Schizosaccharomyces pombe: one gene and its partner. The protein of the gene in region 1 interacts with the protein of each later gene in a biochemical or structural test. Each region holds a gene or a part of one and is shown on either strand. Other genes may lie near its edges. The genes, in order: ams1 and nbr1.

Region 1 (8,062 bases):
TTGTCGTCTTACTTTTTACACAGTCTCTTACTCATATATAAGGAAGATAATAACTGACGAAAACAGAATCATAAATTAATTAATTATAAAAAAAAAATAGCAAAACGATGCAATTAGAAATCACAAACATTGGAAAGTTAAGGCACGTGGGTTATAAGGAAAAGACACATATAGTATAAAATTGCAAAAAGTATTCATAAAGTGCTTTACAAGTTTGTATTCCCTAGGAAAAAAATGAATAAAATCAAACATAAATTGCTGGTAAACCTTGGCAAAAAGATTCCAGTTTGATTAAGCAATTACACTATATATTGAATTAGAATGAGTAAATACTAACAATTCTTACCACATATAAGGAACCTTTGGAGTATAATTTTTAATGTTTTGAGTTTTTACAACATCGGTAGGATTGTTGTTGTAGGCATTGACAATGGATGAAGAATGAGTGTTAGTTGCAATGGAGTCCATGTCTAATATTGATGAAAAGAACGTAAATAGAAGTGTGTATTAGATGAGAAGTCAATATAACTTGATAATAATTATGTACATTTTCCCTTCCTATAAATACCTTTTGCAAAATGCCAATTCCCCAGAAACTGTGATCTCTTTGTTCATTTGCCTATTGTTTGACCCATTGTTTAATTCTGGAATAGGGATGCCTTATGCCGGTCGCCAAAATATAAACAATGACCGCAAAGATGGCTGAACCATTGTACTTTAGAATATGGTCCTCGTTAAACATTATCTGTTTAATGGTGACTTTTCTTAATGTACAATTGTCAAAGACACCTATTGTGTTGATGCCTTTGTTTATTGCACTATTGAAAAACAATAGGAAGCGGGAGACGAAAAAGCAAACGATAAGTGTTTTGGTACAAAAAAGAGAAGAGAAAACAAAGCTAGTATTAGATGATGCTAATAATCACAATCATGCGTTTCTTTACCACTGTCAATATTTAGGGCAAAAAAAACATGTAGTGATACAATAAAAACAGGTATTACACAACACTGAATTTTCATATATATCAAAAACATTTTACCATAATTTTTATTATTTTAATATTTAAAAAACAATTTTCTTTATCTTCCTGTAATACCTACGTTTAAGCATCCACTTTTCTATTTTCCATTCATAAAATGGAGAGGTATGTTATTCGAAAACAAAACAAACCGCCGTCGTTTGTTACTTGTTTAAATTAAATTCGCGTCGCGTTGTAGCGCGCCGTGTTGTTGTTGTTTAATAATTCACGACAGAAACTTAAGAATAGTCAAGCCATTTAGCTGCTTTACAAATCTTGTTCTTCATCCATAAAACTATCTTTGATTCAAATGTTTCTTCTTTTCACGAGAATTTGATACTTTTTTGTCAATATAATATCCCTCGCTTTTCGCAAATAACGAAAATGAAAATGCGTTTTCAATGCTGCTGAGAATTTTTACTGTACTATATATATGTATTAACAATTCACTACTTTATGAATAATACAATTTAATCTCATGATATTTGAATCTTGTTTCCGACCGCTAATGAAATAGCAAGTTCCACCTTCGCTCACGGTACTTTTGCACATCTCGGCTGGCCTTGCGATAACCTAGTTACATAGTCCAAGCACAGCTCCGTCATTATATAGACATTGGGCTGATTTTTCAACTCGTAAAACCACATTACATACATCGGAATTATGTACCTAATAAAGGACTCAGTTTACATCAACTTCCCGAATTTGATGTGTTTGATAGGAAAGCTGAACATTCTTAGTTTGTACTACATCCACTCTAAATTTATCAGGTCAATTTAATGATTAGTTCGTTATTATTTGGCATACAAACTTGCTTAAATTGAAACTTTTCATTCGCGGATAGACTTCTTGAGGTTGAATCGCATTGTTTGTTTGTTATTGTAACCAACATACTCTCTATTCATTGAGATTTTTTAAGTTACTTATTCTGGTCTTATATAGTTTTTTAAGTCTTTTTTAATTATTGAAAAATAAACAAAGACAGATTAAGTCTTAGCCAATCTATTCTTCCACGTTCCGTTCCTACCAAACGTTTTCAATTTAAAGATCTTCTGCTTTCCTCAGCAGTTTAAGGTTGTTTGGAAATTTTTCAAACAAAAAAACATACCTAAATTACATATACTTTACACCTACCGTGCTATCTTTTCAGCTATAGACGATTGCTATGACACTCTTCCCAGTATTAAATAATACTCCTGTCGGTAAACAAGTTGACTCGATTTACGAAAGTCGTCTTGATCAATTCTTGTCCGAAGGGCAGTATAGAGATTTTAATCTTCCAAGTGTTTACGATCACGCTCGGATTGATAACCCTAGTGGAGATGTTAATAATGATTTATCCAAAGGGTTTGTTGATTTAAAGGTCTACCGTGTACCCGATTTGTCTCGTCCGAGCTTCAATGAAGTGGTAGGACATAAAAAGTTCGATGAAACTGCTTCCAAGGGAGATACATTTGGACCTAGTTGGGCAACTTTCTGGTTCGAGGTTCATATTCGATTGCCAAAGTCGTGGGCTAAATATGAACAGGTTATTTTTCAATGGAATTGCGATAATGAAGGTTTGGTCTATTCACAAGATGGTGTTCCTCTTCAAGCTTTTAGTGGGTCTGAAAGAACTGATTTCATATTGCCCGATTCGTGGAAAACCACTGAAGATACTTTTTATATTGAGATGGCTTGTAATGGGATGTTTGGAACTGGTGCTGGCAGTCAAATTGCTCCTCCTGACCCAAACAGATACTTTACTCTTACCAAAGCTGATTTAGTAGCTCCTAATCTTCCTGCCATGGCTTTGGCATACGACTTTCTTCTTATGCAGCAGTGTGTCAAACAGCTTCCTTCCAATTGTTGGCAGAAATACAAGGCTCGCCAAATTTGTAATGATATTATGAATACTTTTCATCCTAATGACTTATCTACGATTAATGAGTGCCGAAATCTCGCAAAAGCGTTCCTTGGCAATGACATTGATTCTGAGGCAGTTTTTGAGAAGAATAATGACAAAGCAAATGTGTTCGCAATCGGTCATTGTCACATTGATACAGCATGGTTATGGCCGTTTGCAGAAACGAGACGTAAAATAGTCCGTTCTTGGGCTACTCAGATGAACATCATGGATCGTTATCCGGAGTATCAATTTGTTTGCTCGCAGGCACTACAGTATTTGTGGCTCAAGGAAGATCACCCTGATGTGTTTGAGAAGCTAAAAGAATATGTGAATCAAAACAAATTCATCCCGATTGGTGGTAGTTGGGTTGAACATGACACAAATATTCCGAATGGAGAATCCTTAATTCGCCAATTTTTACTGGGACAGCATTTCTTCGAGAAAGAATTTGGAGTACGCTGTCGGACATTTTGGTTACCAGACACTTTCGGGTATTCTAGTCAAATTCCACAAATTTGTCGTCTTTGTGGAATGGATAGATTTCTGACTCAAAAATTGTCATGGAATAATATCAACTCATTTCCTACTTCTACATTTAATTGGGTAGCATTAGACGGCTCCCAAGTTATTTGCCATATGCCGCCTGCAAATACTTATACTGCTGATACCAACGTTAACGACGTGTTGCATTCAATAGATCAACACAAAAATCTTGTTAACGATCAAGCAGGCTTACTCGTTTTTGGTATTGGTGATGGTGGTGGTGGCCCTACTCCCGAAATGCTTGAAAAACTTCGTCGGTGTAAAGGAATTGCGAATACCGTTGGATATTTGCCAAACGTAAAGCTTGGAAATACGGTGGACGAATTTTTTGATGGCATACTTAAAAGAACCAATGCCGGTCAAACGTTACCCTCATGGAATGGAGAATTATATTTTGAATTTCATCGTGGAACGTACACTACGCAGGCCGAGCTTAAGAAATTAATGCGCAAAGTAGAGATAGCGCTGCATGATGCAGAATATGTATCTACTTTGGCTTCTATATTTAGTAAAGATTATTCGTATCCCAAAGAAAGCCTGCAAGACCTCTGGAGAGACACCTTGTTATGTCAGTTTCATGATGTACTTCCTGGATCCTGTATCGAGATGGTTTACAAAGATGCTATTCCTATCATGAGTAAGGTTCTAAAGAATACCGAAGCTCTTTTATGGCAGGCTATCGAACAGCTTGGTTTTAAGAAAGCTTCCTCTTCTGATAATAAAGAACAGTTATGCTTGTTGAATACCCTGCCTTGGAATGTTCGTGGTGTAATCACGGAAACCGAGGAAAACAAGCTCGTTTACTTCGAATCTTGTGACGGTAAAGGAATTTTAACGGCCGCTCATACGTCGCTGAAGCACCCTGCTGCTGCCTATCAGAAAGATGACAATTTCATATTAGTAAACGACCACTTAAGAGTTACTATTGCACCGAATGGTCTTATACTTAGTTTATTTGATTTACACAAAGAACGGGAGATTCTTGATTTAAAATCTGGTAAAAATCATGCAGGAGCTAATCAGTATGTTTTGTTTGAAGATACTCCTTTATCTTGGCAAGCTTGGGATACGGAGGTTTTTTCATTGGAAAAGTATGAAGTTTTAGATAAAGGAAAAGTCAGCATCAAAGAATCTGGTCCTTTGAGAGCATCCGTAGTTGTGGATATCCCTATTAGTGAATTAAGTCATATGAAGGCCACCATCTCCCTTGAAGGGTACAATGATTGTTCCGAGTTTACTGGTGTAAACTTTACTTGCGAAGTGGATTGGCATGAAAGTTGCAAATTCTTGAAAGTGGAGTTTCCCGTCGATATTCATTCTGAATTCGCTAGTTATGAAACGCAATTTGGCATTACTAAAAGGCCTACGCACTACAATACGTCTTGGGACGTTGCTAAATTTGAAGTATGCCATCAAAAATTTGCTGATTATTCGGACTTTACCTACGGAGTATCCGTCCTTAATGATTGTAAATATGGGTTCTCCACACATGGAAATTTAATGAGGCTCTCTTTGCTTAGATCTCCCAAGCAACCAGATGCTCATGCTGACATGGGCAAACACACGATCCGATATGCTGTATATCCCCACTCAAAACCTCTAGATTCTTCTACCGTCCGAGCCGCTCATAAGTTTAATAGTAACTTCCGTTTACTTACTCGTGCTTCTGACACAGCAAATCTAGATATCTTTGATGCTTTCCAACTAGTTGGAGAGCCCAATGTAATATTGAGTCATATAAAGATGGCAGAGAAAGGAAAATCTATTATTCTACGCGTTTATGAATCCCTTGGTGGGAAATCTCGTGCCAGATTGGTTATCAAGTCGCTTACAGTTGCCTCTGTTACGAAATGTAATGGTTTAGAAGAAGACTTGGAAGAATTGTGCACGCTAAAATCGAATGACTATTATGAGGTTCCCATTGAATTGAGAGCTTTTGAGATTGCTACATTCAAGGTGAACCTTTAATATTATATTCATAAAGTACCAAGAGTAAAGAAAGAATATCTATCTTTTCATGATAAATGTGCGCAGTAGAAGTAAACATATTTTAACTAATTGTCTTGGCTTAGGTTTGCAAAGTTTCGTTTAACAACTACTTATAGTACTAACTGTCACGTCAAATTTTAAAAATCTTTCATAAAAATATAAGACTCATAAAAGCAGAAATCCAATTAAGCTCTTTATCCCAGCAGTTACGCAGTGGTATAACGCAAATCAGCAGGATATGTGACATTAATTTGTCTACGAATTTGATCAGTTAATTGCATCATCTTCAATGTCTCCTCATGGGGTATTTCAGGTGCCTCCTTCATGTTTTTTAATAAGCATTCAGCGACGGCATCCTGTTCGTAAAAGAATCCAGTAGCATCATCAAAGGAAAAGTCAAATACCTCTGTCTCCCCAGAAGCACGTATCAATTTAATACTCTGTGGGCGATAGCAATCACCAGAAATGAACAACTGATTACCGTTTTCTCCATCCAATTTAAGAAAATCATCGGACATTTTACCACGATCCATTGAGGTGCATAGCATAGCTATGGATTCTGTTTTTGGAAATACTAGAGTAACTGCTGTAGTATAATCCCCTATATCGCCGTTATGATCTTCAAAGGTAAGAGCGTTTGAGGAAACAGTGGGCTCTTGCTTTTCATTTTTGGGATCATCATAGAGCAGTAATCGAGACCAGGTAAGCGGATAAACACCCATATCTAATAAAACGCCAGCGCCCAAAGAAACGGTGCGTAAACGGGATTCTGAGGGTAGTTCACGGAAACGAAAATCTTGTGAAAAATCTACAAAAAGACGGAAGTGATCACCACAAACACGATCTTCATGTAGAAGAGTCTTGGCAGCCTTTACAATTGGGTAAAAACGGATCCAAAAACCCTCCGCGAAAAATAGATTTCTTGCTCTCGCTAATTCCACCAATTCTAGTGCTTCTGGATAATTAATGGTAAGAGGTTTTTCGCATAAGACTGCTTTGTCGTTCAACAAGGCAAGCTTGACAACTTCATAATGCTGAGGGTGGGTCGAACTAATGTAAACGATATCCACTTTATCATCCTTTACCAATTCCTCATATGAACCGTACGCTTTAGGCTTGCATGGGGCACAATGATTCTTGGCGAAAGAGGAAGCACGGTGTTCACTGTCACGTGTAGCGACAGCCACAATTTCATGTTGAACTTTGTGACGCTCTGGTACGCCTACGAGATCTTTGGCAAAGACCGCAGCTATACTTCCTGCACCCAAGAACCCCCAATGAATTACAGGACTGGCACCACTCATAGAAGTCATTTTCAAAACTTACGTTCAACGAATCAAAGGAAAATTACGATTGTATATTATGAGAAGAAAAACTGAATTATATTTTTCCAACCGTTTGTTTGACCCAAGTGTCCGTTTTATAGCAACAAAAAGTTGGAGAATTAAGCAAACACAGAAGAAACCACAGAGCAAAGAAGTGGTTATGAGTTCAGTACTTATCGAAGCTTATATACATTTACAATTATGTAAGCGTAAGTACATGTGTTTCCAATTTGCGTGCTAAATAATAAGATTTTCGTTAGCTATCGGGATATCGCTTTGAAGTCACCACTATGAAGTAAATGAGTGTCATTAAAAATGATTGACTACCGAGAGTGATTGCTTATGAATAAAAGATCATATTATGACCTGAATATGTCTATCACACTGTTCACTCTTTAATAGGAATGTTGTTAAGTAGTAGATTGAAAATTTTGAAACTCAGTACATCTTGGAATGGTGGAAGTTTGAATACCTAGAGAAAACATGTGCGATAGTCGTACACAAGTTTATGGTTCCAGAATTTGGTCTAACACTTGGAATCAAGTTGTTTTGTCAATTCGTTACTTCTAAGACAAACTGTAAATATACTAGGGTTTTATCGACTAAGTCTGTGTTTTATCCTTAAACGAAAAATTGATGGGATCATAGCGTCAAAGGTAAAAACTATACTACTTGGGAGTTAATCCTTTGAATATGCATTCATGAATATGAAGTTGATTTTTTAAATTGATCCATATCATTCGTATGCGAACGTACTGCTATAAGAAAATACTTTTATTTACAGATAATATTAATTATCGTATTGCAAATTCCATAAAGCTGTATACATATGAGATAGCGTAAAGCGTCATTTATCGGTTTATTATTTTACAGAATTAAAATAATTCATGCGGTATATACTTTGTAACGCTTTTCCACGTGCGTTGTTAAAAAGATGAGATGGTAGCTATAACAAATAGACAAAAGAAGTTAAAGATAGACGTTCATTGAAAGCATATTTTTTTAGAAACTTTCAATCAAAGGAGAAGGAGGAACAGGAAACAAAAAATAAGTCCTAGGAATAATACGCTAGCTATGTTCAAAATTAAACAAGTTCCGAAAGATTTCGTTGCGCTGCATTGCGATATGCTATTTGTCCTATTAACCAAATGTGTATAATCTTGGCTACTGTATTAAACACATAGTTAATTTTGGCAAAAGGTATTTAATATTTACAAATACTACTTGGGGATAAATTCAATTGCAAAATTAATTATTTCTATTCATTCATATAGATAATAAAATCCAACAGTTCGATT
Region 2 (4,876 bases), on another chromosome or scaffold:
AGGCTCCCCATTTCCCATAGAAACTGAGACAATCAGTTCGATAACAGATACTTTATCTGATAAGCAAAAACTCAAATATGATTCGAGCGTAAATATCGAAAACTTAAATGATGAATCTGATTCTCAAAAGTCTGCAGATGTTCATTTTGACTCTATCTTAGCTAAATCTCTATTAGCAACAACTCCCAAAGAAGATGAATTTAACAAAACTCTATCCACCATCAATTTAGAGGTGGCTAACAAATTAACTTCTTCAGAGTATATTAATGATTCGGAAATGCAACTGATAGACGATCCAGTTTTTTACCCACCTTACGAAATAATTGAAAAAAATCATCAACTGGTTGGAAGATCTTTGTCTAAAGCAGTTCTTGACAACTTTTTTCTACTGTCTTCTTTGTCTGATAATGTACGTTGTCGATGTTGTGGTATTAAACATTTACCAGCACATTGTCCATTAAGCATTGTGCCATTAGAAATATGCTTTTTATGTGGAACACCTCACTTTAGTGGAAGGGACACGTGCCCTATGTTACGAAATAAGGAAGCGATTTATAGACTAAAAGATTCGCTTAGCAAATCACGAGAACCATTTCACATCAAAAAACAAGCTATGGCTAGATTAAACTCGTTTCTACAAAAAAAGGAGGAACCTACTGTATCAAGCAGTGCCAAAACTAATGAACTTTCATCGAAAGTAATCATAAAGGAATCCATAATTAATGAAGCAAAAACTCTTTAGAGTTTTATCATCAATGTATACTATTATTTAATCTGGCATATTCATATGTATCCTGCATTTTATTCGTTAATATATAATTTTTAATATAAATTTTAAACATATATAGCATTTCCATCAAGATCATTATAACAAGGTAGGATCAAATATGGTAACAAGTGATTCAACTCTGAAGCAAATCATGAACTTAAAACCGGCGGTTATATACGAACAACCGCCAGACAAGTGGACAAAAGAAAGAAATATAAAACTGAAATCAGTTTCGTTATCGTTGTCTTCCACACTAAACTTCTACAGGACATAAAAAGCGTTACGAATGGTTTCAAAAAGACGACTTACTAATTCTGCTAAAAGACTTCGGTACACGAAGGAAGGCGCAAAGACTTTTGTGAAAAACGCTACCATCATCGGAGCAGATATTAAAAAATGCGGTAAAAATCTCTTTGTTACTTTTTTCAGGAACCTTCAAAGCAACTGTAAAATTAACATCCTCACCAGGATGAACGGAAGAAGTGATAGGAAACGAATATGGATTGTCTCCTGGAAAAAGTTTGTCTCCACCATTAAACTTGACATACAACGGAGAAGGCCACGATTGACAAGAAGTATTCCTTATATGCCATATTTTATAAAACGGGCAGCCAGGGCTTAATTCTAAGGGGAGAATGGAGTCCTCAACTAACTTGAAGTCGAAATTAAGAACCTTAGGTTTTTCAGGTTTAGATAAATGTAAAGGTGAAGCAGATATTTCGCGAGTTAAACGGAGCATTGAATGATGATCATGATGCACATGAGATACACATGAGGAGCAAAGATCATAGTCTTCACAAACCAGACAATGAAATCTTGGTCCAACTATTGGATGAGCAAGACAGTTGTCACATTGAACCGATCGATGTACTGTTGAGGCAGACTCAAACAATTCGGCTGATAGGAACTGAGGGAACAAATGAAATGAAGGAAGACCATGAGGATAAGCTTTAGTAATTCGAACGAAAGCATGCGTGTTTGAATGACTATTGTCGGTAAGGCAAGACTCACAAATGTCGTAGTCATCACAAACACTACACTTGTAACGCACATTATGTATAGGTTGCTCACAATGGTCACAAATGGCGTACATAAAATTAGATTGGGGAGAAACTGACATAGAATTTACGCTGCAGGTTAAGGAAGCAACTGAAGGGATTGAAGAGCGAACAAGTACGAAATGGGGTTTTGGGCAAGGATGGAGGAATGCCTGTTTCGCATAGCAGTCTCTACAAACATCGAAATCGAAACACTTTGTGCAATGAAATGAGTCATTCCGAATTATCTTGAGGCAAGTGTTACAAGCAACAGAAGAAGACCTTAAAGTAGGCGAATTATTATTGTGCTCAAAAATGTTTGACTTTAAATTATTCTCCTTAGTGAAGTGGATATTAGCGACTGAGGAATGAAAAGGAGGGAAGGAAGGAACACTATGGTTGCAAAGAATCCCACAATCAGAAGAGGGACATGTACGATTGCAAAGCATTTCGGGATCAAAAACGTGAATAAAATAAAATAAAATTTAATGATAAAAGAGAGCGTTAAAGAAAGCAAAAAAAAGAAAAAAATCGCGTAAGCAGTCAAGAAGTAACTCGAGTTCTTAGGTAAGAGAAGGTCTTAATTGTAGGTAAAAAGCTCTTTCGAAATAAGCTAAAGCAAAATTAGTAACGATATTAACTAATGAAATTAGTTGCAAAGTAAAATTTAATAGTTCATATGAATTTTGAAATTGAGGAAATATGTGACGCCGAAGTGAGCAACAGTGCTAGCAATTTCAGAGTAAAGGCAATAGAAAAAACAATCTTTATCAAGACAAGGATTTTTACGTTCTCGTAAATATTTATCGAAGATGTTATTATTAAAGTTCCATCAACCACTTTAGTCCTTCAATCCTTTTTGTAATTTGTTGTACAAACATTGAACTTAAGACTTTGTGCAAGTAAATTATCTTACCTATAGACGGAACAGGAAATAAAGACAAAACAAATAATTGAAGCGGATGTGTAGAGATACAGTGCAAACGAAATGTAAGGAGCGTTGGAATTGCAACTATAATGACGGGTTCCTAATTGGTTATGAAATCAAGCTATTAATTCTAAATGGGATGTATTCAACGGGTGAAGTGAGCAGGACAAATTCGCTAGTAGAAGTTGATGGTAATGTAAATGAACGAGGTCGAGGTGTAAGCTTATCACACGTATATGGGGGATGAGCATATCGTACTGATAATAGATAAGTTAAGCGTCGCTAAAAAGTGGTAGCGTTTAGAAGCGTGCACAGCATAAACAGTAACTTAGCGAATTTATCTACAAGAGGTTGGTACTTCAACGCATGGCCCTAAAAATGAATATATGAAAAATTTTGTTGATGTAGCAAACTTGAAAAAGAAATTGATTTAGTTAAATTGGAAACTACTTAACTTAAGCCCTAAAATGTACTTAGAAATCGGCTTAGACATTAAACTAGATATGGGTTATGGCATAAATGTAATTTAAATGAGATGTGAGTCGATAAAGTATTAATATTATATATTCTTAAATCATAAGTTGACGCTATTCTAATATCAATAAGCGATTATGAACTGAAAACGTAAATAAATGCAATTTCTCTTACAGCGTAAAATCTTTTACTACAATAATAGAAAAGGGTAGGAAAAACTCCATTATATTGGCTAAAACCGGTCACGGTATCTTTTGATGATCCGTTTGTAAAATCAATTGCAAATGAAAAGACACTAGAGAAGGTGATAAACGACCAGTTTATAGCTAAGTTAATAATTAATGGTATACTCCGCGTTATGATTTTGCTCAAATAATAATTTTGGTTTTTTGCTGATTGTTAATATTTACATTAATGAAATTTGTAAATATACGTCAAAACAAATTAACATCATACTTACATTGTCATACTAATCGCACGTTTACGCATTAACGGGAAAAAAGTAAGCAATATTTCAGTTGGATTTTAAGTCACTCATGCACCGAAATTTTTTCCAGCATATTATTAAAAGTACAAGAACATTAGGTATAAATGCAACTTCATTTCTAACCCGATATTTACTTAACGTTGGTAGACACCAGCATCCTCCGAAATTGATTAGCTCATATTCTCACATCGCTATTTCCACCTTCTCTTTTCAAATATCAGCAACTTCATTCCAACACCCTTCATACACTGTCAAAGGTTTGAGCACCTGTATTGATAAAATGAGCCAAGATCAAAAACCTAAAGTTTTGGAAGTGTCCAACCTTGAGAATCAGGATGCCAAGTGGACATCCTTAAAGAAAATCCGTTGGCAAGACGAAAAAGGAAAAATCAGGTTTTGGGAAATGGCTGAACGTACGACACGTTCAGAAGCCAATGTGGATGCCGTAGCCATCTTAGCCATTGTTCCTATCGACGGAAGTCCTCATGTGTTGTGCCAAAAGCAATTTCGTCCTCCTATTGGCAAGTTTTGTATTGAAATTCCAGCAGGTTTAGTTGATTCTAAGGAGTCTTGTGAAGATGCTGCGATTCGAGAGCTTCGTGAAGAGACTGGCTACGTTGGTACTGTTATGGACTCCACCACTGTCATGTACAATGATCCGGGTCTTACGAATGCTAATCTTAAGATTATACTGGCTGACATTGACATGTCGAAGCCTGAAAACCAAAATCCTCAACAACAACTTGACGATGGCGAATACATTGAGAACTTTCCAATCAAGCTTTCTTCTTTACAAGAGGAATTATTTTCTTTAGAGAAGAAGGGATTTGCCATTGATGTTCGTCTCTCCACATTTGCACTAGGATTACATGCTGGTCTTAAATACTTGTCGTCTTAGCTATGCACCTTTTGCTATTCACTGAATTACGACCGTTTACTATTAAATGTTGCTAATGGACTTTTTATGCTATAACTTTCCTTTGTTTTAGTCAAACTTTATTAAAAATAATATATATGTCTATCCAATAATTCCCGTTACCGTGTTCCCCATAATTCGTAGTTCATTGCGTACATAACTGAAAAGTAATCAAAAGAAAAGAAGAAATACCAGTTATTAAGTTCACCATTACCATACATGCCTAATGAAAAAGATTTAACATTGCGCTCCATGAATAACGTTG

What was found.
Region 2: the proteins of ams1 (region 1) and nbr1 are reported together in a solved structure, tested with the Schizosaccharomyces pombe proteins (one study listed by BioGRID).

The regions. Positions count from the first base shown.
Region 1 is NC_003424.3:2,912,717-2,920,778, forward strand, and holds ams1 (alpha-mannosidase), read left to right. Parts: upstream 1-1,762; 5' UTR 1,763-2,184; coding exon 2,185-5,418; 3' UTR 5,419-5,645; coding exon of another isoform or gene 5,646-6,752; 3' UTR 6,753-7,562; downstream 7,563-8,062. Other genes in the region: M-factor precursor Mfm2, read right to left, coding at 292-304, 347-468; SPOM_SPAC513.04 (uncharacterized protein), read left to right, coding at 687-989; dhd1 (dihydrodiol dehydrogenase), read right to left, coding at 5,646-6,752.
Region 2 is NC_003423.3:985,583-990,458, forward strand, and holds nbr1 (protein Nbr1), read right to left. Parts: upstream 2,928-4,876; 5' UTR 2,723-2,927; intron 2,420-2,722; 5' UTR 2,256-2,419; coding exon 1,062-2,255; 3' UTR 801-1,061; downstream 1-800. Other genes in the region: SHREC complex ATP-dependent chromatin remodeller Mit1, read left to right, coding at 1-742; subfamily NudF ADP-ribose diphosphatase Ysa1, read left to right, coding at 3,976-4,593; Swr1 complex histone chaperone module subunit Swc2, read right to left, coding at 4,835-4,876.